Linked DNA regions of Pelodiscus sinensis. The protein of the gene in region 2 binds, or shares a complex with, the protein of the main gene of each other region. Links are inferred from orthologs where the notes say so. Each region holds a gene or a part of one and is shown on either strand. Other genes may lie near its edges.

Region 1 (9,759 bases), on a different chromosome or scaffold from region 2:
CCATTGTTTCTCAAACTGTGGGACCCGACCCCCTGGGGGGTTGCGAGCAACTTAGAGGGGGGTCATGAAATCACAAAGTTTGAGAACCCCTGCTTTAGTCAAAGGATATTGGCTCACACGCATCAACAATTTTCTTCAACTGGATTGTGAGTAAAAAAGTTTGAAAACTGCCGCTATAGGTTCGGGCCATCCATCAATGTTTCACCGGCATGGAATTCACGTATGTTCATAGGCATTTTAAGAAAACAGAATTTTTCTTGATTTTTTATTATTTACACACCTGCTCTAAAGCAATATTTTGCTTATTACTCTCTCCATGGCAAAGTTTTCATCCTTGCTCTCATTTTATTGCGTTTTCATGAACTTTTCAACTACCTTAACATTGGATCTAGGCTCCTCTTCAGCATGGTAACCTGAAGTCAGACATTACAATAAAAGATTCCCATTGCAGCTTAAAAATGCATTATGGTAATAGATGCCTGTGTTTCTGGTGGTGAACTATCCTGCAACCTAATGTGGCAGATGGAAGTACATTAACATCACTCAGTGCAGAAGCAACATTAGTTTCCAGTCATGTTTTCAAAAGGAGTCTTGGGTGCTGATTTAGGAGAGAAGTAGAAATCCTAAGGAAATGGCAGTTCTATTGTTTTCTTGGCTTTTTTTATTAACCAGGCAGTAGATAGTAAACCAAAGAACAGGTGTCATAAAACAGATATCCCGGCTGACTCATTATTCACAGTGGGATGGTCCACTGCCGTTGTAACTGGGGTGAAAGTTGAGTCTGTCGTAGAAGGTGATGAAGTTATCTGCGCCAGTCACGTAACTTTTCTCTATGTAGGTGTTGAGCCCATTATTCCTATACAGGCCACACTTACCAAGATTTTTTGAAAATGCATGTGAGGTAATGTTAAAAGAGGTCTGGAGGAGGGAGAAAAGCAAGAGGAAAAACTTTAGATACCCATATGAATAGCATCTCTGTATTTTTACAATAGCTAGGATATAATTACACAAGTTACCAAACTCCAGCTATGATCAGGGGCAGAAAGAACCTACATACCCACCGATTGTTTGCATATTTTTAAGCAAGAGTCTTTGGGCTCTAGGAAACATGTCCTAAATTTTGCAGAAACAAAGTTGATTTCTGCAGCACACCAATGGAGCAGACTGGAGAGGTTGCACCAACTTCAGCTAAATGCAGAACCGGCAATTCTTGAGTATACCTGTCTGTGACAGATGCATTGTGATATGCTATGTGTGAGTGGGGAGAAAAACTAGGGCCACCTTCTGAAGCTTCAGGCATTGGTCAGCACCATGTGCTTTTGGTTAGGATTTATTTTTTTCACTTTGGCAATCCCTGTGTTCCAACTTGGCTCGTCTGATTATTTTTTTATGCACTAGTAGCAGTATAATTGGGGGGGTGTTTGTGAATAAACACCGTGTTCTCTTTGGCATCAGACTTCAGCCACAAGTGGCTAGAGACTCAATTTGTTTATGTGGAGAGGGGAGACATATGTCTAATTTAAAATGTTATCTACTCCATTGTGTTTCAAAAGAGGTTCTAGAACCGTGGTGAGCAACCTGCAGCCCATTTGGGGTTCTATGTGTGGCCCATGATACTTTTTATTTACTGTTGCTTAGAAGCGAAGTTGTAATCGGCTAATCGAGAAATCGACAGAATTTCAGTTGATAAGGGGGGAAACTGCAGAGCCGCAGCGGAGTTAACTCCAGCCCCGAGAGATAACCCCATGGCGGCTCCGCCTTTTAAATGTATTAAGAGCCGCCAAGCTCTTAGTACATTTAGAAGGCAGAGGTGTAGCAGGGGACCGGATGCAAGCCTGGAATCAGCTGATTGCCGGCTTGCATCTGCTCCTCCATCCCCTGCCCCCTGAGACAGTGCTGGGGGAACCATGCTCCCCCCAGCACTGGCTCCTACTTCTTTCCCCTGCTAGAGGCAGCAAAAGGTAAAGGGAGAAGAAACTAGTCGAGTCACTACTTGAATACCCAATATGCATATGCTTATGGGCTACGTCTACACTGGCACCCTTTTCCGGAAATGCTTAAAACAGAACAGTTTTCCGTTATAAGTATTTCCAGAAAAAGCACATCTACATTGGCAGGATGCTTTTCCAGTAAAGCACTTTTTCCAGAAAAGCGTCTGTGGCCAATGTAGACACACTTTTCCGGAAAATAGCCCCGATCGTCATTTTCGCGATCGGGGCTTTTTTCCGGAAAAGACTACTGTGCTGTCTACACTGGCCCTTTTCTGGAACAGTTTTTCCGGAAAAGAACTTTTGCCCGAACGGGAGCAGAATAATTTTTTCCAGAAAAACACTGACAATTTTACAGTAGATCGTCATTGCTTTTCTGGAAAAGCAAGCGGTCAGTGTAGACAGCTGGCAAGTTACACTGGAAAAGCGGCTGCTTTTGCGGAATAAGTGGCCCAGTGTAGACACAGCCACTGGGTACTCGGCTAGTTGCTTACATCACTATTGCCCACATGCAGGGTTGCCAGATTCCGCTGACTTCAATCCATGTTGGTTTTTTTCCCACCAGTATTACTAAAGTGACACACACATGAAGCCAGGGCACATGAAGTGAGGTGTGTGCTGACTGTATATAACATTGTGAGATCTGTGCACTCCCTCTGAATCCAATCAAAGCTGCTACAGTTCATTCGGTACCCCTGCAAATACTAGATATGCACGCGTAGTTAGCAAAACTATCCTATCCTGGTAGACCCGTGTTTCTTAAACTTTTTAAGACCAAGGAACACCAAACAATAATTTTTTTTATGAGGAACACCAAAGATTTTTTGTTGAGGGGAAAAAAAAGTCGCCTGCCCCTTTAAGGGTGGCCATTTTGAATTCTGTTGTTCTCCGCGGCACACCGGTGCACCGTGGAACACAGTTTAACAAACACTGTGGTAGACCATCTTGGTTACAATAATCTTGTGGCTCACTAAGAGAAAAGAGGACCACTTATGGAGCCTGGTCACTAACCTAGGTTGCCCATCGCTGTTCTAGGTCATTGCATTTGCCCCCTTTTAAACCATTGAGTCTTTTCTTTCTAACCCTGCTATACTGTAAAATGTGCTGTTGGAGACACTGAAATTTCTGGGTGGGATTTTTCAAAAGCCCCTAGGCAACATGAGAGCATATATCTTTCTGAAAGTCACTTAGGGGCTACTGAAAATGCCACCTTCTGATTTCAAAGATTTGGTGAGACCAACAAAATTAAAATAGAACTATGATGATGCCCCTCCATTTTTCCTGCAATATATTACTGCATTTTTCCTTTGTAAGAGGCTGGAGTGGTAACATGAAATAAAAATGTTAATAGCCATTGAAAAATTAGCTTATTGGGTGTTATACAGGAGATCTAAATTTGAACCATTGCTGGTCTGGATTGAAAGCACTCAAATTTAACAAAAGATATGAGAAAATAAATTTTATCCATCAGAATTCTTCCTTGCTCCCCTTCTCCTAACTACTTTTTAGTATTATTTTGTGCCTGCATTCTGGCTGGCTGTGGCCGTGCACACATGGCTTCCCTCCCCAGTTTGCTCATGCCAGGAGCGAGCGATACTTGGGTTCAGGAGGGTGAGTAAACGCTAAGTGCCCGCAGGATAATATATGTATTTTAAAATACTGCAAGGGATAGATGCTTCCGTAAGGAAGGTAATGTGTCAGCTCTAACTGAATTGACAGATTTTTAAACAAAGGAACCAAGCAAAAAGCATGACTTTTTTTTTAAGTACTTCCACAGATAAAACAAATATTCAGTGCATGCCTAGAGTTCGCTTAAAAGGTAAGATTGATCCACACTGTAATTAGCTTTGTGTTGCATATACTTACTGGCATTTCATGTACAGTAGGTGCTTTACTTCCATAGGTCTGGTTGGTGGTCCTGTACATTGGATGAGGCTCCCTCGTTCTACACAATAGAAGGTAATTTTACTTGGAATGGTTTCTTTCATACACATTGTATCCCACAGCACTCTACAGCATTAAATGGTATCGATTATGGAGATAAATTACAGCAACAGATGGGCATTAAGTGCAGACAAAGTTGAAAAGATGCTTTTGGGATGAGATGGGGAATATATAAGGTGAGGAGAGATGAGAGGGCATTTCTAAGTGGTATAGGCTGCTAAGCAGCTGGTCTTTCACCAACAGTGAGACTGAGGGAGCAGAGAGGGACTGTCTGCTACAGAAACAGCAAGGAAAGGTTCCTGGAGGAATTTAAAAACAAGGAAAATTCTACACAATCTGCACTCTGGAAAGCTGGGATCTGAATGAAGCTGTAGCAAAGCATGCTGGGGACCTCTGGCCATGGTGGCTAATCATGGAGCACCTCCTAGAAGCAGTTCAGGTCTTAAAATGGGTATCTATTTTCAGAGTCTTGCCAACAGCATGACGATGCCACAGGATCACAGGGCGTTGTTGCAAAATGTGGCCACCTCTGGATGTGTGGTGAACCCCTCCCACTGTGCATGCCGCTTTTGCTCATCACACAAGTTATATCAGCTTCCTTACCTGTAGCCCTGAAACCATCCAGGGTGGTTGAACCGGGGTGGCAAATCATCACTAACTCTGTAGTAATCACTGGTTCTCTGGGACCAACCCACTTCTGCCTCTTTTTCACTGGTGGCCGATGCTTCCGGCAGATGTTCCTGGTGCATTTTGAGCTAAGGCCTTTGGGGACTCTGCTGATCCAAGCTGGACAAAGAGGCAGGAAAATGACCAGGCACAAAGGAAAATGGGAGGGTGCTTAAGTAACAAACTGTCTGTTGCTAAGAGACAGGCTGTAACTTGGCAACAAAGTTCTTAAAGGCACAGTACGCTTTTATCTTATTTTGGTTTTTTATTTTTACACAAGGACCCAGCTTACAAATGCTTTTCTTGCACTCCACTGAGAGTAGTCTCTTGAGGTCTGGGGACCAGAGAGAAGCAGGTATGAGGAAGGCCCATTTGCTGACCCATGTTGTCTCATTGTTTCCTTGTGCTCCCGTCTGTCTCCTAATGGGATTTGAGCCTTTAGGTACTAGTGCAGTCCAAACTAGGGATGTGAATGGTTAACCAGTAAGCATCAGCCAGTAAGGTAACAGGTAACAGGCAGGAGTGATCCAGAGCAGCCTCCTCCCCATGTAATCGGATGACCATTTAAACAAGATCTGATGTGTAACTCGTTAACTAATTAAATGGGATTTTACCTCCCTAGTCAAAGCCATATATCCTACAACTTATTTGTGAAAAAGGGTTGGATCTGACGAGCAGTCATTTTGCTCACTGATCAATCCTATTGTTTCTAGGGCTTCACACATGTTCTGGTCTCTGTAGAAACCCAATAGGCCCAGAATAGGAATTCCAGCTGACACATGCTATATGGCAGGGAGGTTTTAGAATCATAGAATAATAGGACTGGAAGGGACCTCAAGAGGTCATCGAGTCCAGCCCCCCACCCTCAAGGCAGGACCAAGCTCCACCTACACCATCCCTGACAGATGTCTATCTAACCTGTTCTTAAATATCTCCAGAGAGGGAGATTCCACCACCTCCCTTGGCAATTTATTCCAATATTTGACCACCCTGACAATTAGGAATTTTTTCCTAATGTCCAATCTAAACCTCCCCTGCTGCACTTTAAGCCCATTACTCCTTGTCCTGTCCTCAGAAACCAAGAGCAAGAGGAACAAATTTTCTCCTTCCTCCTTGTGACACCCTTTTAGATATTTGAAAACCGCTATCATGTCCCCCCTTAATCTTCTTTTTTCCAAACTAAACAAGCCCAGTTCATGAAGCCTGGCTTCATCGGTCATGTTCTCTAGACCTTTAATCATTCTTGTCACTCTTCTCTGTACCCTTTCCAATTTTTTGCAGTGGCTACCTTTCACAGGTCACTCCTGGAAGCAGTCAAAGGTGCACCCAGGGCCAGACTAACACAGCTGAGGCCTATGTCAAGTTTAAGAGGCCCTATAGCATTACCAAAAAAGGATATTATTCTAAGAGAAAGGACAATGAAAATAGAAATAATAAAGTGTTATATTTGCGTATTATATACAGGATACCACTACAAATTAGTCATGTTTTGTATTTAGAGCAGGGGTCGGGAACCGAAGGCCAGGGACTGGAAGTGACCTCTGGCTCGCCTGGATCCAGCCCCTGAGGCTCAGGGCTTCCCCCCAGCATCAGGGGGCTGGGGCAGGCACTCCAGCCCTCCAAAACAAAGTCCCCCACAGGCTGGCGTGCCAGCACTGGCTTCCCACTGCAGTGGGGGGAAAAGCCCTGAGCCCTGCAGGCGATAGGCAAGTTGGGTCTGGATCCAACCCACAAGCAGGGGAGGAAGCAGCTAATGAGCAGTCCTCTCCTGCACCCAGCTCCTGCCCAGATCCACCACCTCCCTTTCGGTCCTGCACCCACCTCCCACTCGGTCTGCTCCTGGACCTTCCCAGCCCTCTACTGCACCCTCCCTTTTGCCCAGACCCCACTCCTTGAGCCTGCCTCCCTATTACCCTGAGCCCTCCCCCCTGCCCCCCCTTGTGCAAGGGGAATAGGTGGAGTCTTTCTGCTTCTCAGTTGGGGGCCATGTCAGTGAGATGCGGGGGTGGGTTTTTTTTGGGGGGGGGGTGTTTGTTTTGCTTCTCACTTGTGTGCGGCCCCCAGCTGACTTCCCCCTGGGTCCCGACCCCCCAAAAGTCCCTCCCCTCTAAAGGAGAGGCATCGCCTGGTCCAAGGCCCTGACTTTAATTGCCTAGGGGGGGGATCCCCACGTGTCCCCCTCCCTGCCTCCCGCCCAGTCCCGGCTGCTGCCTGGGAGCCGGGCGTCTGCATTCTCCCCGCGGCAGAGCGCTCGCTGGGCCGGGAGCGGAGCGAGGGCAGCGGGCGGAGCTGCGGGGCGGGCCCGGCTGCGCGCAGAGGAAGCGGAAAGGGCCGGGGCCGGTGCAGGGACCGTGCTGTGCCCAGGACATGGCCGCGGCCAGGCTGCTGCGGGCGGGTGAGGCTGGGAGCCGGGGCTGGGCAGCGGGAGCCTTGTCTTCAAAGCGGAGCTGGCTCCTGCTTGTAGGGGCTGAGGCTTTAAGACCCCCCCCCCCCCTTATACACACACACACACGCTCCCTGCCTGCCAGAGCAGACAAAGGGCCGAGCTTTTACAGGCGCTGACACTCTGTGCCTCAGTTTCCCCCCTCCCCATGCCTCAGTTTCCCCCCCTTTGGGAAAGGAAGGGGGGTGGTTCGAATGTTAACCTCTGTTTCAAGGTCCGCGGAAGGGTTTTGGGAGGGGCTTTGGGTTCTGCAGACGGGTGCGGCTGGGGGTTATCGGCGGGTTTGGTCCCCCTAACTCCTTGTTGAAGGCTTTTTGTTTCCTGTCCCCCTTCTCTCCATGGGCAGTCGCCCCCAGGTTTAGGGGCCTTGAGTCCCTGGGGAAAGCGGCCCCCAGGACCTCCCAGCTCAGCAGTCGACTTTACGGAACTCTTCTTGCTCCAGAAGCAAATCCTCCAGCAGACCCCAATGGTAAGATTCCCCCCACGGCTACGTCTACACTGGCCCCTTTTCCGGAAGGGGCATGTTAATTTCAGCTATCGTAATAGGGAAATCCGCGGGGGATTTAAATATCCCCCGCGGCATTTAAATAAAAATGTCCGCCGCTTTTTTCCGGCTTTTAGAAAAGCCGGAAAAGAGCGTCTACACTGGCCCCGATCCTCCGGAAAAAGCGCCCTTTTCCGGAGGATCTTCAAAGTAGTAATAAGATCCTCCGGAAAAGGGCGCTTTTTCCGGAGGATCGGGGCCAGTGTAGATGCTCTTGAAAAAAGCGGCGGACATTTTTATTTAAATGCCGCGGGGGATATTTAAATCCCCCGCGGATTTCCCTATTACGATAGCTGAAATTAACATGCCCCTTCCGGAAAAGGGGCCAGTGTAGACATAGCCCACCTGTTTCAGGAGAGTGAGAGGAATCAGCCTATTCGGCTGATACTGACCAAAGACAGTTGAAATAAGCCAACCATCTCTCTCTGGTAGCCACCAAGTTTGCTTTTCGCCAGAGGATCATGTATCTTGTGAGCATCTTTTCTAAGCCAAATTGACTATTTAGTTTTCAGATTGCATACGCATGTGTTATTCAGTACATTTGATTCCCCTCTGACCATGTGCCTAGCAGAGGAAGGATCACTTCATGCCTGAGATTTGGGCTCAAAAGTCAGGATTCCTGAGAGCTGTTCCCTGTTCTGCCACAGACTTCCCATATGACGTAGGGCAAGTCACTTAACCTAGCCGTACCTCTCTACTCTGAGATAAATAATATGAGCCTGAAAGCCTAAAAGCATTAAGATACCTGGATGGAAGGGATGGCGTAAACTCACTATCCACCCTATGCGTACCCCAACATTGTGCTGTTATTGGCAATCAGTTACTAGACAACACTCTTCTTTTACAACACAACCGAACCTCTGTGCCGCACAAACTGGGACCGGAGCTCTAACCTCTCGCTGTCCTTCTTTCAGCTATTAATGAGAAGCTCATCACTGAGCCCCTCAAGCACTCGGACTTCTTCAACGTGAAAGAGCTCTTCTCCCTGAAAGATCTCTTCGATGCCAGAGTGCACTTGGGGCACAAAGAAGGGTGCCGTCATCGGTCAGTTTCAGAACTTGATGTGTGGAGCCTTGAGGTTGAGCCATTAACCGTTGAGACAATGGGTCTATTTCCATTGCCTCTTGATTGGGTCTTTGGTGAAAAGAAGGGGAGGATTCTTTGCCCTGAAAAGTGTTTGCAAGGTGGTTCCTTCCTAAGGTCTTTGACAATAAGTCTGTGCTTGACTGCGGTCGCACGGAGAAGGGTTATTTTATTTCAGGGGTGGGCAATAATTTTCGTATTTTGGTACACGGTCATGGGCTGGCTCCACCCCCAGAGGGGCGGGGCCTAGGGCAGGAGGGGCAGGGCTGAGGACTCTCCTTCCCCCAGAGTTGTCTACGGCCAGAAACTTTGAATTAAAAACACAACAAAGAGCTCCCGGCTCTGCTGCTACTGCATTGCCTGGCAATCGCCCAGGGTTACTGCAGCTATTTAAAGGGCTTGAGGCTCTGGCTCCTGCCGGGGTAGTGCCATGAGCGGGAGCCCTTTAAAGAGCTGCAGCAACCCTGGGCGGCTGCAAGGCAACATGGTAGCGGCAAAGCTGCAAGCCCTTTAAATTGCTAGGATTTAATGGGCTTATGGCTCCAGCCCTAAGTCATTTCAATAGGATCCTGCTGCCTGAGCCACCACCTGGAAATTGAGTGCACAGGCAGCAGGACATAAATAGAAAGTGGCCAGGTGCCGTCCAGGGGTTGGATCAAAGTGTTAGGCGGGCCGGAGCTGGACCCTAGGCCGCATCTTGCCCAGCCCTGTGTTGTTTGATGTCTCGTGCAGCATTGTAAGCTAAAGATTGTAGGGGTCCAAAGGGTTCTTACTGCAAATATTCTGGCATTCCAGTGAGTTGATCGAGAACCAAAGTAAGACCCTGGTTCACCTGGGCGAACCCCTGTCTATCAGGGTGTGATAGAATGATCTGTATGGCTAGGACCTCAACTGCCCTTTCCCTTAAATAAAATACAGGACTATGTCGCACTTTAAAGACTAACAAGATGGTTTATTAGATGATGAGCTTTTGTGGGCCAGATCTGAGGAAGTGGGTCTGGCCCACGAAAGCTCATCATTTAATAAACCATCTTGTTAGTCTTTAAAGTGCTACATTGTCCTGTATTTTGTTTCAGCTACACCAGACTAAC
Region 2 (9,549 bases):
GCTGACAGTGGCCAGCACCAGCTGCCCCAGAGAGGGTGGACTGAAGACAATGATCAGCGATTTATCTCCTGCCATCTCTCTCCAGCCTCTGACAGAGACCAGGGACACTACTTCTATCCCCTGGCTTATAGCCTTTTATGGACCTAACCTCCATGAAATTATCTAGCTTCTCTTTAAACTCTGTTATAGTCCTAGCCTTCACAGCCTCCTCTGGCAAGGAGTTCCACAGGTTGACTACACACTGTGTGAATAACTTTCTTTTATTAGTTCTAAACCTGCTACCCATTAATTTCATTTGGTGTCCTCTAGTTCTTCTATTAGTTCCTACCTCATAAAGAAAAGTTATTTATTAGTTCCCTAAATAGAAGAACTAGAGGACACCAAATGAAATTAATGGGTAGCAGGTTTAAAACTAATAAAAGAAAGTTCTTCTTCACACAGTGTGTAGTCAACCTGTGGAACTCCTTGCCAGAGGAGGCTGTGAAGGCTAGGACTATAATAGAGTTTAAAGAGAAGCTAGATAATTTCATGGAGGTTAAGTCCATAAAAGGCTATTAACCAGGGGATAAAATGGTGTCCTTGGCCTCTGTTTGTCAGAGGCTGGAGAGGGATGGCAGGAGACAAATCGCTTGATCATTGTCTTCGGTCCATCCTCTCTGGGGCACCTGGTGCTGGCCACTGTCGGCAGACAGGATACTGGGCTAGAAGGACCTTTGGTCTGACCCAGTACGGCCGTTCTTATGTTCTTATGTTCTTACCTCCTGGCTGCTTCAGTCAATGGTACAAGGCAGCCTGCCCCTGCCTTGTTCAACCTGCTTTGGGTGGCCCCCACCCCCACCCCCTGGCAAGGAAAGGGAGTTCACTCCCAGGCTAATGCACTGAAACTGCCTGCAAAGGGGCCAGTCCCTGCTAATTGAGATGTGGGCACTTAACGGGAGCTGGGCTGAGATCCACCAAACTCCTTGTACACGGGCCATGGCCTGTGAGTCACTGCTGCCCTGCCATGAGGACTGAGGGGGTACGCACACTCATGGGTTGGAGAACTGTGTGCAGAACGCCGCCTGTACGCTTCTGAGCGTGGCATTGTCTGGGTGTGACAATGAGCGTCTGTCTGTCTGTGCCTACCGTTGCCTCGCTAACGTCACCACGTTCCCAGCTGGGAACAGCGTTAGCCTGTGCTGTGATAACCCTTCGAGACTTGCTCCCGGGTCTGACTGGCATTCCAGTCACATCAGTCCCACCGAGCTCTCTTGGTAGGAACGTAGGTGCATGCGGCTCCGCTCTGGATGCGCCTCCTTCTTTCTATCCCCGGCCTCTTGGCTTTTGCGCTGGAGTCCCCAGACTGCAAGAGAAAAGCAGCCTCAGCAATCCATGATGGGGGTGGGGCTGAGAAAGGGACCAGGCCCAAGAATGTGTCTGGAGAAATAATGTGACCCCCTCTTGCCAAGAAAAGAAACCCCCTGGATCTGGCCTGTCTTATTAACATCTGAATGTCAGCCAGCCAGGGGGGGACAATTGCTTTCTCATGGGGCCCCCCTCCCTGTTTCCCCAGCTGTCTCTCTGTCTTCCAGGCTTTTTCTATCCTCATCTCTCCCCAGCCTCTCTCCTCCCTCTCCCCTTCCCAGGCCAGCTTCTCCTGGGGCTCAGTCATATGACTTGCAAGGTGATAAAGGAAGACCAAATGCCACCAGGGATTCCTGTTCTGTCTCCTAGCAACTGAACAACTCGTTGCCTAGCAGCGGGTGAGCAGGGCTCTGTCTTACAAACCTAATTAGAGAGCAAGCACCTCTGAGGCGCCTGTGTCCTTGAGATGGAGCCATTGATTTTATTCCACAGCGCCCAGGGGATAGTTCATTGATCCCTCTGCTGCATTGGCAGAGCCATTGCCTCTTGCTTTAATAACAACCCTCTGCCCTGCCCTAAGACCTTCCACCCAGGATCTAAAGACTCTTCACAGACTTTCGTGAATTGCCTCACAGCTCCCCTGGAAGAGGAATGAGCGGTACAACCCTCGGCTACGTCTAGACTGGCATGATTTTCCGCAAATGCTTTTAACAGAAAAGTTTTCCGTTAAAAGCATTTGCGGAAAGAGCATCTAGATTGGCATGTACACTTTTGCGCAAAAGCATCCGTGGCCAATCTAGACGCTTTTTTGCGCAAAACAAATCTGAGCTGTCTACACTGGCCCTTTTGCGCAAAAGCTTTGCGCAAAAGGACTTTTGCCCAAACGGGAGCTGGCAAGTTTTTCCACAAAATCAGCTGCTTTTGCAGAAAAACTTGCCAGTCTAGACACAGCCCACATGTTACAGGTGGGGAAACTGAGGCACACGGTGATTTGGTGACTCACACAAGGTCACAGAGCAGGGCAAAGGACAGAACCCAGGAGTCCCAGTTTTTTCTTCCTCCTAGAGCCTGGAAAGGAACCAAGGAGTCCTGATTGCCCAGATCTCTGCTCTAGCTCTCTCCTGAAGGCTGGCGTTATCAGCAGCAACACAGCGCCCCCTAAGCTGCCATGGGAATGAAGCCATGCCAGCTCCTTGCATGAGGCTGGCACAGGGATTGATCTTGTGGGGAAGGCCCTGAATGTGTGGAAAGAAGAACAGTGTCCTCTCCCATCAATATAGTGGGAGGTGTCCCCATGCACCCAAAGAGATGCTTCATGCTCCACACACCCCTCAGGAGACACACAGCACAGCTGGAAAAAGCAGCAGGGCACAGCCTGGCATGCCTGAGACGGGGTGGACAGCAAGGCTTTCTATAAAAGGATCTAAGAGCCGGCTGTCTGCAACCTGCCCAGCCAGCATGGAGCCAGGATCAACACCCTTGTTAACCCCCGCCTGACCCTCCCCGGCTTCTATATCCAGTCGCTGTGCTCTACCCTGCCCTCATCTTAAGCAGGGCTAAGCAGTGTTGTGCTGCGCAAGCTCCTGTGAAACCAGATGGGCTGGGGTGGGGGAAAGAGGGGAGGAGGAGCTGCTGCTGTGAAGGCCAAGTCTGCTTCCTTGTGCATTTCAAGGCTAGCATTCACTTAGGCAAGTTCTGCCTCTGTGCTGGGCCTGAGGATGGTCAGGGACCACAGTACTGTGCCCATATCAAACTCCTTCCACTCCAGGCTCTTAAAGCATTTTGCAAACATTAAGGAATTAAACCTCACCAGCTTTCTATTATCCACCATTGTGCAGAAAGAGAAACTGAGGTACAGTAGGGCTCATGAACTTGCCCTGGAGATCCTAAGTCTCTTGATTCTTAGTTTTGTGCCTTAACCACTGAACAATACTCCCTCCCTAAATACATCCACTGGGCACCTCTCTGGCTCACAAAGGTAGGTTACAGTAGGTGTAGCTGTCCCAGTGCAAAATCCTAGAGGAAGCTGCTATTTTCACGGATGGAACCAGGGCAAATTCTTGAAAGGTGTGAATTGGGACCAGCTGAGAGTCTGGTCCCTGGTGTAGGTAAGGCCATAGATTAGAGTGAAAAGAAGGAAGTCAGGGAGGAAAAAAAGGCCAGCAGCATTTCCTGTGCACCAGCCCATAAACATGTAACTGATTTTGGTGAGTGTTCAAATGGATGATTGAGTTTCAGCTCGGGATCTTCCGGTCACTAATGCACTGCAAAGCCCATTTACAAACTAGAGTAAAATGACCCTGAGAACTTGACAGGTCTCCACAGGAAATTGAATTTCCTGAGCTCTCCTCCTCCCCCTCTCCCTCTCCCTGGAAGAGGTATATATATCCAGTAAGCAGCATGTTGTACTCTAAGCTGCTGTACATGTAAAGGTAAATGTAGCATTTTGCTGTGTCCTGGAGTATAACTAGATGGCTCTCTATGTAGTGCACAGGCCAGAGTCCAGGGCAGGATCACAGGCTGTTGTTTCTATTTGTTTCGCTACAATGTGGTTAGAAATTTACAGGTCTCTGTGGGTAGACAGGAACTTGACGAAAAAAACTCAGGTCTGAACATGGCCAAATTGCAATGCTAGCTATCCACCTCTTCTTTGAGCAGCATCCTCCACTGGTGTAAATCAGTGAGGTACCACTGAAGTTCATTTTCACCAGCTGAGGATTTGACCATCTGTTCTTCAGAATGCCCCAGAAGTTCCTTTGTTCAGCTGTGCCTATGGAATCCTGGAGTCTCTTTGTACCTCATCAGTTCCCTGGGGAATGTAGGTCCTTTGTCCTTTTATGATTCAGGAGCAACTCCAGATACAGTCTGTATGTGCTGTCATGCCACAGGGGGCCAATATTCACAGGGATGTTAGTGCAAAAAAATAGCCAGGGGGCTGGGGCTACTTTTCCTGCCTGTTAGAGAGAAATGTGTCAAACTAGTAGAAGCATGGGAGCAGGAACCCAGAGCAGGCTGCAGAATATGGGAAATGTGTAGAAAATCGTGATTTCTTGTGAGGGGGATTGAAAATGTTGCTCACCAGTCTGCAACAAAGCAGCCAGTCTCACAGCTCCACCTGCAGCAGCTGCTGCCTGTCCCCTCCCCACCCCCTCGCCTCAGTTGCCAGCTCTGCAGAAATGGAGCTAGAAAGGCACCTCCGGCCCTGGAAAAGAGGATCTGAGCTCGCCCTGTGGAAAAGGGGGAAATTGGGGATGAGAGACACCTCCCTGTGCTAGCCTCCCCTTTGCAATCGGGTGTAGTGGAACAATTTGTACAGTGTGTGTGGGGCGGGAGGGGAGGAGGCTGGGAGCCATTGAACAGAACTGCAAACCTTGTATATGATGGACATTATTTGGAGCCCAGCAGCTGTGCTGGCCAAGCTCTGGCAGCACACTCCTGCATGCCCTGAAGGTGAGGTCGGGGCTCTAACTCTCAGCTCACGGTTGCTGTAAGTTGGACCAGCCATGACACTCACTACACACCAGCCTAGGGACAGACACTTCCCATCACAACCCTGTGGGGTGGGAACAGCCAGCTCCATGGGGTGGGCCGTGGGCGGTTCTCTGAAGATGGGGATGCATGACTGGAAGGGTGATCTGGTACTTGCAACCCTATGCCCCCACCCGACCCTCCCCTGTATAATTCTCCCATGGCCAAGATGCCAAGTGCTCCCTACAAGCACAGCTGCCAGACCAGCTGTAGCCCAGGTCAGGAACCTCCCCAGACCTAGAGGCTGCTAAGAACCCTTGAACCAAAGTGCAAACCCTGGAACTGATAGGAAGCACTGACTCAAGTCGGTGGGGTGGCAGCCCCCCCAGTCCCAGCCAGGCTCTTCCCTGCTGCTGGGGGGCGAGGTGAGTGCGGGATCCCGTGGGTATTTCGGGGGACGACGACACAGGGAGCAGGGGCTGGAAGTCACTTGCATGGGAGCACCCCACCTGGCAGAGAGCAGGACTGACCCTAGACTATCTCCTCGGGGGTGGGAGATCCCTGACAGCCCAATTCCATGTGGTACCAGTCAGGAGCCCCGAACCTGCCTCACCCGACCCTAAACTTAGCCCTCGGGGAGGAGGGGGCTGGATGACCATGTACTTGATCCCCACACGCTCTTGGCTCATCGGGGGCCCCAACTAAAGGCTCTTCCCTTCCGGTGTCGCCCCAGCTTTCCCCACACAATGCGGCGCGAACCTGGAGGCGGGGGAGGGGGTTCACGCACGCTCCGGATCGGGGCTGACTGCAGCATCTAGCTGCTGCAAAGCCGCCCGCCCCGCCCGCTCTTTGTCTGCAAGCTGGGGGGCGGGGCCATGACCTCATCCTGAGCGCTCCGCACCAATCGCCGGGCGGAAACGGTCGAGGCGGACCAATGGCTGGCAGCCCAGGCCCGTCGCCATGGTGACCGAAGGGTATAAAGGAGGCGGGCCGGCGCGCACACCCTAAGTTCTCTTACAGCGATCCCCTAAGAGTCGCGCGGTAAGAAAGCGGCCAGCGCCCCGCCCGCAGCCAGCATGGTAAGGGGCGCGTGCGGGGCTGCACGCCACGGGGGGCGCGGTAGAGCAGAGAGGAAATGGGGCGCTAAGGGAGTGCGGGGGGGGGCGCGGCTGTCCCCCCCGCTGGCTGCAGGGCTCCCGGGGGGGCGCGGCTGTCCCCCCCGCTGGCTGCAGGGCTCCCGGGGGGCGCGGCTGTCCCCCCGCTGGCTGCAGGGCTCCCGGGGGGCGCGGCTGTCCCCCCGCTGGCTGCAGGGCTCCCGGGGGGCGCGGCTGTCCCCCCGCTGGCTGCAGGGCAGGGCAAATGCAGGCGCTTTTCAAAAGCTCCCAATCTCCCCGCCTCGCTGGCCGGATCGCAGCCGGCGGCTCTGCTCCGCCTTCCCCCGTTCCCCCTTTGGGCGGAGGCACCAGCTGGACTGCGGGAGGGGGACGTGCCAAACCGCCGGGTCCCGGCTGCAAAATCCTTCCCAGCAGAGCAGCCGTGGCTGCCCGGGCTAGCGGGGGATGGAGGGCCACGCCCTGGCGTCCCAGAGGAGGGCGGGCTGCCCGGCCCCCTGCCCACAGAGCAGCTGAGCCAGGGGCTGGTTTCCCACCGAGGTCCCATTTCAGCATCGGGCTGGGCTGCACTGACCACGCCTCTGCTCCCCACTCAACCCCCCCCACTAGCTAGCGCAGGGGAGGGGGCCCTGACCCAGCAGACAAAGGGGGAGGGGGCCTCAGGCGCTTGGGTCCACACTGATGGTTCTGGGGCGCAGGAGGCAGCTGCCTGGATGGGGCTTGGGAGGGAAACGTGCCGTGTAGGCGACCCGCATATCCCTAGTCCTTGTATCGCTGGGCTCGGTGCACGAGGGCTGCATTTTAGCGCCTCGGCAGCATCCCCAGGGCGATGGTCGAGTTCGCAACTCCCCGCTCTCTGCGCACTAAAGGCGGAGCGTCGGGGCTGGGGAATGGCAGCCAGCCCCTTCCCGCAGATGCTGGCTTGCTTGGCATGTGAGTTAGCTTGGACTTTTGTTCTGGCTGATCCATTGATTGTCTCCGCTCCTAGGCGGGTCTGTTCCCAGATGAGGTCAGCGGAGGGGAATTGGCAAACCAGTCTAATGAGATCATGCTGGAAATAGACCAGCCAGTGCTAAGCCAGGGCTGTCCGCACAGACTCCGGCAGGCATGGGGCAGAGGATAGTTAATGGTCTCTCAGTTGCACCAAATGAGCCTGTTCCCAGGCTGGGTGTGGTAGCTCCATTCATTATTCCCTAGGCTAGCCTTCCTGGCTGGGGAAGAGCCATTGGCATGTGGGAGGGAGGGCCAGGTACTGGGGGCACAGAAAGCAAATCAGTAGTTTGGAGGGTGAACTTACCAACTGCTGAGCACCTGCTGGGAAAGGATTCAGCATCCACAATGGGGCCAATTTCTCCATGAGGCACCAGAGTTGTGGGGGGTGGAAGTCTGGCTTGCCTTGTTTTGTAGACTGGGATTCTTATTCATGAGAAGTCCCATCCCAATCCTCTATCCAAATCAGTTTTGCCAGTTCTCTGGGAGAAGAATCAGGCCCTACAGATAAAAAAAGGGCGTGGCAGGTGGGCACATTTCAAGAAGTGTGATGCTGCAAAAGGGTTTCCAGTTACCTCCTACCTGTCTGGGTTAACAAGTATTTTCTTCTCTCTGTACTCTTCCTTTGCCCCCCTATTTTGAGAGCATATGGTGGTTAGACCATGTGGTGTTAAACAAAGAGTTAGCATCTGTGTGACTGTGCTGCTGACTCTTCAGAGCATGCCCCTCTCTAAAGCTTAACCCCTGATACTGCTGCTACAGTTATAAGCACTGAAGAGCCAAAAAAGGCAAACATGGGAGTGTCAAAGGGATCTTCTAGAGATACCTCCATTGCTACTTATTAACATGCAATTGCAGACCAGGCCAATGTGTTCACATCTCTTCCCTGCCTCCCATTCTCTTCTCCACAGCGTGAGTGCATCTCTATCCACGTCGGCCAGGCTGGTGTCCAGATCGGCAATGCCTGCTGGGAGCTCTACTGCCTGGAACATGGGATCCAGCCTGATGGCCAGATGCCCAGTGACAAGACCATCGGTGGAGGAGATGACTCCTTCAACACCTTCTTCAGCGAGACAGGCGCCGGCAAGCACGTGCCCAGGGCTGTCTTTGTGGACTTGGAACCAACCGTGATAGGTGAGTATGCAAAGCCATCATCTAACTGCTTTCTGGACTCCCCTTGTAAGCCCATGTGCAGACAGCTACTGTGCATGGACAGTGGGGAGAGACCGACTCTCTGCCTTTCCTCTCCCCAGATGAAGTGCGCACTGGAACCTACCGCCAACTCTTCCACCCTGAGCAGCTCATTACTGGCAAGGAAGATGCTGCCAACAACTATGCCCGTGGGCACTACACCATTGGCAAGGAGATAATCGACCTGGTTCTCGACAGAATCCGCAAGCTGGTAGATACCATCTCCTTTTAGCATAATCTGGGCAGGTTGTGAATAGAAAGCTGATTGAAGAATGTAAATTCACTGCTGATGGATTTTCCCCCATTTCCAATTCCAGATAATCATATTGTTAATGTTTTTATTGCCACCATATTTGTAGGTGGTCCCAAGGTGAAGTTAAAACTCCTTTGGAATAGAGTAGTTACTCAGAGCAATCTTGGGATAAGAATACCAGACAGTGAATACAGACAAGAAATGTTTTAAGAGATAAATTATTACATTGCTTCCAATTGCACTGGATTTACACTGATGAAACTCCTCTAAGAATGATGGAGTGGGCCCAGATTAATAGAACAGAATTTGGATTCTAAGAGGGGGAAAATGTCTAGGATGGGAAGAAAGTAAGAACTCTTCTCTCTTCCCCCCCCCCCCCCCCCCCCAAGAAATAACTAATCCAGTTCAATGATCCAATCAGTTGACAAAACTAGCAGGCAGCAGGTTTAAAACAAAAGGAAATGCTTCACACAGCACAGAGTCAAGCTGTGGCACTCTTTTCCTGGGGGACTGTTGTGAATGCCAGAATGATCACAGGGCTCAAAAGAAATCTAGATCATTAAGAATAGATCCATTGGTGACCATTGGTGACAATTAGCTAAGGTGGTCCAGGATGCAACTGGATACTTGGTGTTGCAAAGCCTCTGACTGCCAGATGCTGGGACTGGATGACAGATGGATCACTCAGGAATTGCCCTTTTCATTTCCTCTGAAGTACTTGGGAGTGGCCACTGTTGGAAGAAAAGATACTAGGCTAGATGGACCATTAGTCAAACCCAGGATGTCTGTTCTTGTGTCTTAACAATAGCTTCCTTTGTGTTTCCACCTTCTCTCAGGCTGATCAGTGCACAGGTCTCCAGGGCTTCCTGGTCTTCCACAGCTTTGGGGGTGGCACTGGTTCAGGGTTCACCTCCCTGCTGATGGAGCGTCTGTCTGTTGACTATGGCAAGAAATCCAAGCTGGAGTTCTCCATTTACCCAGCACCTCAGGTCTCCACCGCTGTGGTGGAGCCCTACAACTCCATCCTGACCACCCACACCACCCTGGAACACTCTGACTGCGCCTTCATGGTGGACAACGAGGCCATCTACGACATCTGCCGCAGGAACCTGGACATCGAGCGCCCAACCTACACCAATCTGAACCGTTTGATAGGTCAGATTGTGTCCTCCATCACTGCCTCCCTGCGAT
Region 3 (9,817 bases), on a different chromosome or scaffold from region 2:
ATTTGGGGATGAATGCTGACACAGGAGGATGCAGGTTACTGGCTCCAGTCTAGATGCTCACAAATCTTCAGACTGCAGATGTGATGGAAGATGCCCAGTTGGAGCTGCTCATGCGGAGGAGCCTGGGGATGCCTGGATGCTCCCATAAGTAGATGCGGTCAGAAGAGGCAGGTGAGGAGTGCAGTGGGGAGTGATCTATTAGGCTAAATGCTGCCAGCATGTGGTGGGATCCCCCTGACTCAAGTTCTGATACTGTTAGGGCCTTAGACTGGAACCTGGTGGAATAGGGTGGGCTTGAGTTCCCCCCTACCAGCTGTTGCCAGCCCCACTCTTGAGGTGGCAGCCTCCCCATCTTAGGCCAAGAGACTGGTGTTTGTCTGCCAGAGCCAGGCAATCAGACCCTAGACCTGTGGTGTCCAACATGCTAGCCACTGGCCACATCTGGCTAGTTGGCTTGAACAATCTAGCTATTTGGCTGGTTGAGCGTAGCTACTGCTTCAGAACAGCTTGGATACCATGGCCCAAGACTGTTTGGTACTCTGCCGTAGCAGATGGCAGTCAGACTGACTTTGACCATTAGGTCACGCTTCCCTATGGCTAAGGAAGACTGAAAAGACTTGGCCTCAGGACTGCAGTATCTCTTGCCCTGCCCCCAAAAGAAATGGGCCCACCAGCTGCATGACAAAGCTAACCAGCCATTGCTACTGGTGCCCTTGCAGCTGTGGGCAGACTGGGGCACTCACTATTACCAATAAGATCCTCCAGAGGCAGCTGTGTCCTGCCTGAGATTGGGGAAAGGCCACTTGCTCCTGCTCACCCATGGTCATCAAAGAGGGTCTCCTTGTGGATGACTATTTGGTTCTTGTCTTGGAGCAGCTCCTTGTGGTGGTTGTAGAGTGAGGTGAGCTTAAAATCCAGGCTGTCTCTGGGAACCTGCAGAAGGATTTAATGAGAGTCACTAGCCAGTGCCTCTTACAACCCTGGCAAAGGGACCCTCTGTGCTGTGTTGGCTTCCTGAGGCAGGGGACAAACTAATCTCTGCTGTGGCCCCACTGTGGGGCTGTACACACGACTCTGTCTCAGTTGCTCTACTAGTTAGAGCAGGGGTCCGGGAGTCAGGACTCTCAGCTGGGCTCCAGATACGGGGAGGGAACAGACTTAGACATGGCAGTGAGCTCTGGAAATGCTTAAGTCCTAATGTGACCCTAAGCAAGTAGTTTTGCTTTTCTGTGTCTTGTCCCTATCTGTAGTACAGATATAACATAAGCAAGGAGATCAGTGTATGGGCTCACTAGCTCTAGCCAATCTGGGGACCCTCGGTAAGAGTGCCACAATGTTGGTGGAAGTATGTATGGGGAAGAACATGAGCCCATATGCTTCTCTCCTCCTTCCTTGCACCACAGCCCTGCCCCCTGCTCAGGCTGGAAGCTGGAACTAGACTGGTAAGAGCCAACCATAAAGTTCAGGCTGCTATTGGGAGCCTCAGATCCCGGGGCAGAAGGCCAGGTTACCAGCCAGCAGAACCCTGGCCCATATCCTTGCCTCCTCAGCCAGGGTTGGGGCCATAGAAAGAGGCTGGGCCTTCTGTTGGCAGAGGGACTAAGACTCCTCTCAGAGCACCCCCCCTGCACTGAAAAGAGGCTGGTGCTGCCAGCAGACATTTTGCAAGGGGGATCTGATCCACTTATTGGCTCCCACACTGTGAAGCACTGCCCCTGCTGGCAGGTACCACTTTTGGCCTGCCTGAGGATTGCACTCTGGGGGGCAATGTGGTCCTCAAACAACACCATGTTAAAAAGTGAGCAGCCATGGGTTTTTAATGGAGTGCTCTTTGTGCTCAAGGTCCCAGTAAATCTTAATGCACCTCTGCACAAGGGCTGGAGGATTGTGAGGTGACATTCATGTTTGTAAAGTGCTTGGTAGGCCTGTGACCTAAAACTCTAGAGAGCTGCAAAGTGTTCTTGTTCAGAGGTGTCCAGGCTGCTGCACTGCGGGGGTGTTATGCACTTCTTCCCTGCTGCTTGGGGTGAGGATGGCACACTTTCATGGCTTGGGATGCTCCCAGACAGAAATCAGTCCAGTGGAGCACAGACAAGAATCCAATATGGTTGCTGGTGAAAGGCCTTACTATACCCTTGGTGCAGTCATTGCGGCTGCCCAGCTGAGGCAAGCAGATGCTGCTGCACTGGGGGAACTTTTATCTACTAATCCTGTGACCATTTCAGGCTGTGCCCTTCCACTGAGGGAGCAGCAAGAGGGAGGGTGGGAACCTGGGAATCTGTACCTCAGGTTCCATATACCAGACTTCCTTCCTGGTGCTGGACAGGGTAGGTGTTCTGTGCAGGCGATTCCAAGGGTCCCGTTGCTGGACTAGATGGATGGGCTCAGCATAAGGGCTTACCTGGAACAAAGAACAGACAGCCACTCATGCCCGGATAAGAGACAGCCTGAAGGTAGGGAGGGTGCTTGAGTGGCCGAGGGGTTATGGTATTGGCCTTGGGACCCCAGGGTTGTTCATTTGAGCCTTACCCACCCAGGGAGTGGCTGCCCCATTAGGAAGGCTGGATAATGGGCACCCTGAGTGTAGGAAGGTGCAGGGTGGGTTCTGGAGTGGCTTAGGGCATTGTCTTGGGGACCCCAGGGTTATATGATTGAGCCCCACCCACCTGGGAACATCATGAGGGTCTCTATTGGATGCCTTGTTGTCTATAGCAAAGGATCATCCTTTGGACATATGCACTGCTCCCTAGTCCAATGTGCATGTACATGATTCTGTATGTAGGGCCAAATTAGCCTTCTGTCCCCAGACCAATACAAGAGGGCATAATTATCAGCAGGCACTTGGGACACCAAGGGGTCCCCTATCTCCCCTCACATGCCTGCAGGATTTTTCAGAAAGTCATTTTCTAGACCAATCATCCTAGCACAGTAATGGTGGATTATGTCTCTGGCATCTCTGCTCTCCCCAGGAGTGCTTGGGCTGTTAGGATCCATAACTTCCTGGGGACAGCAACAAACTTGTGTTTGTGCAGCCCCTGAAGCTATAGGGTCCATCTTGCTCTGTGACGGGAGGCTATGAACAATTGACAGGAGAAGCCACTGCCCAGCAGAGCCAACAGGTAACTCCTGGCTTTTTCCCAGAGCCCTTTCCCCAGTGACTACTTGAAGCAAAACTCTGACAGTTAAATCCCACAATAAACTCCCTGCTGCTTTCTGCCTACTCAGGTTCCTTGCTTCTCTGCTAGTGAAGATCTGACCTCACTCCATTTGTTTACAGAGCTGTGGGACTCAAGTGTTTGCTCATTTTTAGCACAGGGTCTAGAGATCTATGAGATCTATGAGATCTAGAGATCTCATTTTTAGCACAGGGTCTATGGAAGCCAGGCCTAGACTAGCAAACTGCTTGGAAACTCAGCTCCGAGCCCGCCGTGAACTCTGTGCACTTGGACTGCAGCTGAACTTAGCCCTCCCCCCCCCCCCCCCCCGCCCATTTCTACCAGTTAAGAGCATGGCTGAGCTGGATTGAAACGTTGAACAGTTGATTCAAAGGGACCCTGCTGTCTTGCAAGCCGCGCGTTTCTAGCTGAAGGTAGGGCGGGTGCTTGAGTGGCCCAGGGGTTATGGCATTGGCCTCGGGACCCCAGGGTGGCCCCCCACCGGACTACTTTTGCAGGGAGGTGGGCAAGCCTCGAGTCAAAAGCTGCTCCAGGCGCCGCCTCTCCCTCGCCCCGGCCGGTTTGTTGCTTTGTGAAAAATTCAGGCAAGCGGGGGAAACTGAGGCCAGAACTTTCACAAAGTGACACTGACGTCTGGCTCTGCTCTGCCCTCCCCCCCGCGCGGCGGCGGCTGCCGCGTTTCCCGCCCCGAGGTGACTCTGCCAGGAGCGGAGCTGGGCGGGGACGGTGGAGCGGCCGGCGCTGCCCGCACCTGGCTCCGCCTGGCTCGGCCGGTGAAGGTGTCCTCGTTCTCACAGCGGGGGGAAGGGAAGGGGTCCCGGGTAGGCGGCATCCTGCGGCCGGGCGGCAGCACCTGCACAGCAGAGCCAGCAGCGCGCGCCGCCGCCTGTTTGCAGACCCAGCCGCGGTTGCCAGGCAACGGTCGCGGGGATTCCAAGGCTGACGCTCTGGAGCCGGGGCTCCCTCTAGTGGCTAGAAGGAGCAGTGCAGCGGGGCAGCCTCCAGGGAAGGGGATGCGGCAGCCGCAGGTGCAAACAGGGGGCCACGCAGTGGCGGTAGGGACTGGGGAAAATGCATGGAAACGGCACTTGGCAAAGCCAAACACCAACATGCACAGGTGTGTAAAGAACTCCCGCCCCCAGCTTGCTGTATTGCACATGCCTAAGGCTGAGATTTTGTCATGGGCAGCTGGAAGCTTGGGGGCTCCCAGGTGGCAGGGGTGCCTCATACAGCTCCCTGCCAAAGGTGATAGTGGGGAGGCCCTGCAGTTCTCACGGTGGTAGTCAGAGATCTCAGGGATTTCCTTCTTCAGCATAGCTGTCAAACTCCGTAGCCTTAACCACACGCACTTAGGGTCCTAGTTCCCCTAGTTGTAAAGATGCTAGGGGCTACCCCCAAGTCCGCGGACTCAGTAAAGCGCTGTTGCAAAGAGGCGGGGGCGGGTTCTAATTGCAGAAAAGCTACTCCCGTGCTGTAACTGGCCCCCGGGAGTCGAGGGGTCAGATTTGCTGGCCACTGTGCTGCAGCCGAGGCAGAACAAAGGCTTTGGTACAGCACAAGGAGGGAGGTGAGCACGTGCAAAAAAAATGAATGCCGGCCTAAGCAGGAAGGTGCGTGAGCTACACGGCTAAGTTGCACGAAGACAAACAGGGCTGGGCAGGGGCCTCGCGCGCAGGAAAGCGCAGATTTGGTCCTGCGTCTTGCACCCCAGCGCGGTGCGCACGAGCCTCCCTGCCTTTGTGCGAGGGGCTGGCGCGCGGAGCTGCCGTGGCACGCGCAGCGTAGGCGCTGCTTTCGAGCCGCAGGTGCGTGGCCCAGGTGCGCGCGGCGGCGGCGGTTGCTGGGGCCGAGGAGCTGGGCGGGGCTCCGGCGTCCCCTTTCCTCTCGCATCTCCGCGGCGGCTGCACCTGAGCCCTGCTGCACCATGGCTGGGGCTGGCAGCTGGAGCCGCTTCCGCGCCGGGCTCTGGCTGTTCCTGCTGTTCTGGGTGGGGGCCGCCAGCCAGGGGAGCCGGGGCGAGGAGCCGGAGCTGCACGCCTGCAAGGAGGTACGGGGAGCCCGGCTCTTCTCTGGGGGCGCTGGGACCAGGGGCTGCATGCCTTGTAAGAGGGGGCGAGGGGGGGACTTGATCTAGGGGCTGGGGAGAGGGGTATGAGCAGAGCTACAGGCCCTGTGTATGCCCTAAGGGGCTGTATGGAACAGTGGGAGGGGCTGCAGAGATGGAGCCTTGTAAGGGGTATGTAGGTTTGGGGTAGGGGAGCCAGAGAGAGAGGTGCAGTCTAGGCAGTACAGGGTAGCCAGGCAGCAGTGAGGCTGTGCTGGGTCTGATTGCCAGATTTATTTATAAAACATGGCAAAGTGCCATGTCTGATGTGGGGTAAGGTGCTATGTAGATGCATTGGAGGGCGGGGGGAAGGACAAACAAGGCTGCCCTGCCTCGCTAGAGTTCTCATTGCCTTACAAAAGCACTAGGGAGAGCTACAGGTTTGGGCTCTCTGGCACCCTTGGTGCTGCTGCTGGAATTGGCCCACTAAACATGTTAGTAGCAGAAGCAAAACACTCCATTTACTCCTGTCCCTAAAAGCATGTGCTAGGGGAGTCCCACTCAGTGGAGCCATCTTCCTACAGACAAGCACCAAACCAAAACCCTGAGCAGGAGTTTCCCAAGGAGGGCAGCTCCTGGCAAAGTAAGGCCATCCTACAGGATCAGCTTGGTCCTGTGTGAAATCTGGTGTACGTAGCACTGTGCTCCCACTGTGCTGAGCCCTTGGCATTCTGGTTCCATAGCTCCCCTTGCTGGTTCTAGGAAAGTGTAGTGCATTGCTACATCCCTGTTAAAAGCAGAGGGGCACTTCCCCATGTCCTGCCTGCCACTCATGCTCACCCTTCTCACTGACTATTGGCACTAATCCCACCGGACAAATGGTCTCTTCTCTTGGGCAAGGCTGCCTGTAAATTGAGCCATGGCTTTCTGCTAGGTGACTGGAAGGAATTTCTGTTTGTGTGTATTGGTTCGTCGTCTTTCAGAAAAGGTTGGGTGGTGAAAGTGAACAGTGATGAAGGAAGGAAAAAGGAGGGGAAGGGGCTGGAGACAGTCAAAGCTCCACTAGGAAGAGCAGCTTCCGCCAGCTTCTATTCTCCTTGTCAGGAATGGCTTGAGTTTGCTACACTCTGGCCAATGGAGCAGTTTTCCACTGATGTGAGTGGGAGCAGAACCAAGCCTCTTCACTGGGAAATACTCCTCTTCTAATGCTTTTGCTCTCCCCCTCCATGTGGTTCTTGATGGCACTGGACTGGGCCCTTTATAAGCCCACCAAAAGCACCCCCTGGACTTGAGTGGGGCTTGGATTAGGCTCTCACTCCTCCACTCTAGAGCAGTGGTCTCAACCTTTTTAACCACAAGATCACTTTTTCAGTTTAAGTGCAATGTAAGATCCACCTCAAACAGAAATCCCCTTGCCTGGCTTCCTTCCCGCCCCTTCTTTGAGGCCCTGCCCCTACTCCACCCCTTCTCCAAGGCCTCACCCTGCTCACTCCATTTCCCTTCCTCCCCAAATCTCACTCACTTTCACCAGGCTGGGGTAGGGAGTTGGGGTGCAGGCTCCGGTCTTGGGTCAAGGGGTTTGGAGTGTGGGAGGGGACTTCCTGAAGGAAGGGATGGAAGGAAGCATTTCTCAGCTTCCATGTCAGTGAGATCAGGGTCTCTGTGTTTGTTTTAGCCAGAGGAGAGGGATGCTCTTTGATACAGTTCAGCCATATACTGTAATTCTGGGTCATCTGTTTGTAGTAGATTTTTCCATCCTGGTAACTTAGAACATAAGAATGGGTCAGACCAAAGGTCCATCTAGCCCAGTAGCCTGTCTGCCCTGGAGGGGGTGAACCGAAGACAATGATCAAGCGATTTGTCTCATGCCTCTGACAAACAGAGGCCAGGGACACCATTCCTACCCTCTGGCTAACTTCGAGTTTGCTGTTTGACTTCCCAGTCCTACTCATGTGATGAGGTTGGGGGCCCATTCTTAATGGGATTTCCAGGTCTAGTGTTAGACTTGCTGGGGTGCACCTAAGCCTCACTGTAGGGCAGCGGTGGATTAGGGCAGGGCGAGCGGGGTGGCTGCCCCGGGCCCCACGCTTCCCGAGGCCCTGCGCATGCGCCTTGGCACCACGGCGCATGCACTGTGTCAAGGGGGGCCCTGCGAAATTTTGCTGCCCGGGGCCCTGCAGCGCTGCCCTGGGCCCTGCCGCACACTCTTCCACCCCTGCTGTAGGGGGCCAAAATGTTGAGAGCTGCAGCCCTGGGAAGTGGGACTCAGCTCACAGGTCCCTTGAAGCTCTTGGTGTGGGGGGTTATCCCCTCATCCAGCAGAATGGGGTTCGATCTTTGCCTTTTGACTCTTGCCTTACACAGGATCTCAGGCTTTCGTCCTCCTGGAGTTGTGTAGTGATTTTTGTTGTCAGAAGGGGTTTGTGATGGAATGGAGTTTGGCAAGGGCAGGATTTGGTGACGCGGGTGACTGTTGCAATATTTCTTCTTGTATTTGTGTGTTATTTGCCCAAACCCCCCAAACATGGGAGGAGGGCAGCTCAGTGGTTTGGGCATTGGCCTGCCAAACCCAGGGTCGTGAGTTCAGTCCTTGAGGGGGCTATTTAGGGATCTGGGGCACATCTGTGAGGGATGGTACTGGGTCCTGCCATGTGGGCAGGGGACTGGACTCCACTCAATGACCTCTCAAGGTCCCTTCCAGTTCTATGAGATAGATATATCTCCATGTATTATATATTAACTTAGCAGCTATAGATGAATGTAGCTGTTTAATAATCCATCTGTGGAGACCTCAAGGTGAGGAGAGATCACTTGATGTGTGTCTGGCAATTGCTGGACATGTGTCCAAAGCAGCAGTCTGGTTGGCAGGCCGAACCCACAACCAACTCATCTGATGCAGTGGGCTTCACGCTTGAAAGCTCATGATCCTTTACATTTGTTAGTCTTTAAGGTGCTAGGGTTGCCAGATGGCAGGGCTAGGGTTGCCAGATGGCAGCAACAAAAATACCAGACACACTTGACATTGTATCACAATCTACATTACATCTTACTTAGAAAATACTGAACACTTGTATTTTCTCAATTTGTTTCCCAAACAGAGAGCTCAAATACTGGACTGTCCGGTTCAAAACTGGACACCTGGCAATCCTACATAGGACTACTTGTTTGTCTGTAACTTTAAAAAACATGGCTACCCCTCTGAGACCACAACCATTTATTCTTGGAGTAGTTCCTTCTTAAAGGACATGTTTAACTATTGAGATGGATCTGTCTTCTGATGCCTCTGTTGCTTCTGCTGATGGGCCAGATCATCTGCTGTTGTCAGAAGAGTTGTGCCAATTTACACCAGTTTGTCCCACTTGTGGGTCTGTCTGGTGACCATGTGTACGACTATCAGCAGCATCCGGAGTGTCCTTTGATAAGGTCCCTCACCAAAGTTGCTTAAGTAAAGTAAGTTTTCATGGGATAAGAGGGAAGGTCCTCTTGTGGATTGGTAACTGATTAAAAGATCAGAAGTAAAGGGTAGGCATAAATGGTCAGTTTTCAAAATGGAGAGAGAACTAGTGGTGTTCTGCAGGGGTCCGTTCTGGAACCAGGTCTATTCCAGATAATTTATAAATATGTTGAACCAGGGATAAACAGTGTGGTGGCAAAATTTGGAGATGATACTAAATTGTTCAAGTTAGTAAAGTCCAAAGTAGATTGAAGAGCTTCAAAAGGAACTGTACAACTAATCTGAAATGAATGTTTCTTTCATTTACCAAAGGTAACTGATGCAGATATTTATGAAGTCATTGGGAGGTGAGCTATCTCCAAGTCAACAGGTTAATCATTAATATTTGAAGGATTTTCTTGCCATGCTGTATTAGGGGAGAACATCACCAGATAGACACTAACATTGTTTTATTTAACTAAAACAACGTTCTGTATTCTGGATATGTTTCTTCAACTGCAAACATATAATCTAACAAAACAAGCATATTAGTTTTTTAATTTCAACACTCAAGTTGTTGAAAATCAGGTTTGTTTTTGTTAACTAAAATAGTTAAATGAAATATAAAAACAAATTAAATCCACTGTCAGCCACATCAACATAAAATTAAAATAGTAGCTTCTGCAGTTAACATAGTCATCTTCACCTTCATTTCCTGTTTGTTCATAATCTGGAAAAGAAAAACAAGCTTTCCTGCTTTTTCAGGTCCCAAACAATTTCTCTTAGCTCTGAAGTTTATTGTATTTGGAATTATGGAGGGATGGTTGCTGGATGCCCATGTCATAGCCAATTCCTCCTCTTCAGCAGTTAAGGTTTGATTCTGGCACTGAGTATTGAGAATATATGCAAGAAAATGAACTGAAGATAAGATAGTGCTTGTCCCATTTCTTTTTTGAATGCTTGTAATTTAACTCTGTAATTGCATGTTTCTCTTTTTAAGAACTCATAGACTTTAAGGTCAGAAGGGACCATTATGATCATCTAGTCTGACCCCCTGCACAGTGCAGGCCACAGAATCTCACCCACCCACTGCTAGAATAATCCTCTCACCTATATCTCAGATATTGAAGCCTTCAAATACTTTGAAGACCCCAAGATGCAGAG

The links.
Region 1: the proteins of tubulin alpha-1A chain (region 2) and PIERCE1 are in contact, whole or in part, in a cryo-EM structure (PDB 7UNG), measured with the Homo sapiens proteins. The link is inferred for Pelodiscus sinensis from reciprocal best matches to the Homo sapiens genes TUBA1A and PIERCE1. Residues at the interface, in NP_001257328.1 of Homo sapiens: Met1, Arg2, Gln15, Asn18, Ala19, Glu22, Cys25, Leu26, Glu27, His28, Gly29, Ile30, Gln31, Pro32, Asp33, Met36, Pro37, Asp39, Lys40, Asp46, Asp47, Ser48, Asn50, Glu77, Gly81, Thr82, Tyr83, Tyr224, Thr225, Asn228; in NP_001041730.1 of Homo sapiens: Tyr28, Pro35, Gly36, Arg37, Phe38, Trp43, Phe44, Arg45, Gly46, Tyr47, Arg48, Thr58, Ser59, Asn60, Gln61, Ala62, Tyr63, Gly64, Arg66, His71, Glu72, Pro74, Phe77, Tyr78, Pro79, Asn80, Ser81, Asn82, Lys83.
Region 3: the proteins of tubulin alpha-1A chain (region 2) and CFAP276 are in contact, whole or in part, in a cryo-EM structure (PDB 7UNG), measured with the Homo sapiens proteins. The link is inferred for Pelodiscus sinensis from reciprocal best matches to the Homo sapiens genes TUBA1A and CFAP276. Residues at the interface, in NP_001257328.1 of Homo sapiens: Lys112, Glu113, Ile115, Asp116, Leu117, Leu119, Asp120, Arg123, Lys124, Asp127, Arg156, Ser158, Val159, Asp160, Gly162, Lys163, Leu195, Glu196, His197, Ser198, Asp199, Tyr262, Pro263, Arg264, Trp346, Lys430, Asp431, Glu434, Val435, Val437; in NP_001231954.1 of Homo sapiens: Pro43, Trp44, Arg46, Leu47, Asn48, Thr50, Pro51, Thr52, Ile53, Thr54, Ser55, Arg57, Arg58, Ala60, Tyr62, Asp64, Ile67, Pro68, Lys69, Asp70, Asp71, Phe74, Arg75, Lys90, Ser91, Leu94, Leu95, Asn96, Lys98, Thr99.

The regions. Positions count from the first base shown.
Region 1 is NC_134732.1:19,817,942-19,827,700, forward strand, and holds PIERCE1 (piercer of microtubule wall 1 protein), read right to left. Parts: upstream 4,769-9,759; 5' UTR 4,682-4,768; coding exon 4,536-4,681; intron 3,934-4,535; coding exon 3,855-3,933; intron 919-3,854; coding exon 730-918; 3' UTR 639-729; downstream 1-638. Other genes in the region: MRPS2 (small ribosomal subunit protein uS2m), read left to right, coding at 6,966-6,993, 7,388-7,510, 8,500-8,629. UniProt on the Homo sapiens protein: Microtubule inner protein involved in the attachment of outer dynein arms (ODAs) to dynein-decorated doublet microtubules (DMTs) in cilia axoneme, which is required for motile cilia beating.
Region 2 is NC_134729.1:4,832,274-4,841,822, forward strand, and holds the start of tubulin alpha-1A chain, read left to right. Parts: upstream 1-5,733; 5' UTR 5,734-5,888; coding exon 5,889-5,891; intron 5,892-7,825; coding exon 7,826-8,048; intron 8,049-8,167; coding exon 8,168-8,316; intron 8,317-9,194; coding exon 9,195-9,549. UniProt on the Homo sapiens protein: Tubulin is the major constituent of microtubules, a cylinder consisting of laterally associated linear protofilaments composed of alpha- and beta-tubulin heterodimers.
Region 3 is NC_134737.1:16,132,315-16,142,131, reverse strand, and holds the start of CFAP276 (cilia- and flagella-associated protein 276), read right to left. Parts: upstream 4,095-9,817; 5' UTR 4,009-4,094; coding exon 3,928-4,008; intron 2,402-3,927; coding exon 2,285-2,401; intron 934-2,284; coding exon 818-933; intron 1-817. Other genes in the region: ELAPOR1 (endosome/lysosome-associated apoptosis and autophagy regulator 1), read left to right, coding at 5,101-5,223. UniProt on the Homo sapiens protein: Microtubule inner protein (MIP) part of the dynein-decorated doublet microtubules (DMTs) in cilia axoneme, which is required for motile cilia beating. May play an important role for the maintenance of myelin-axon integrity.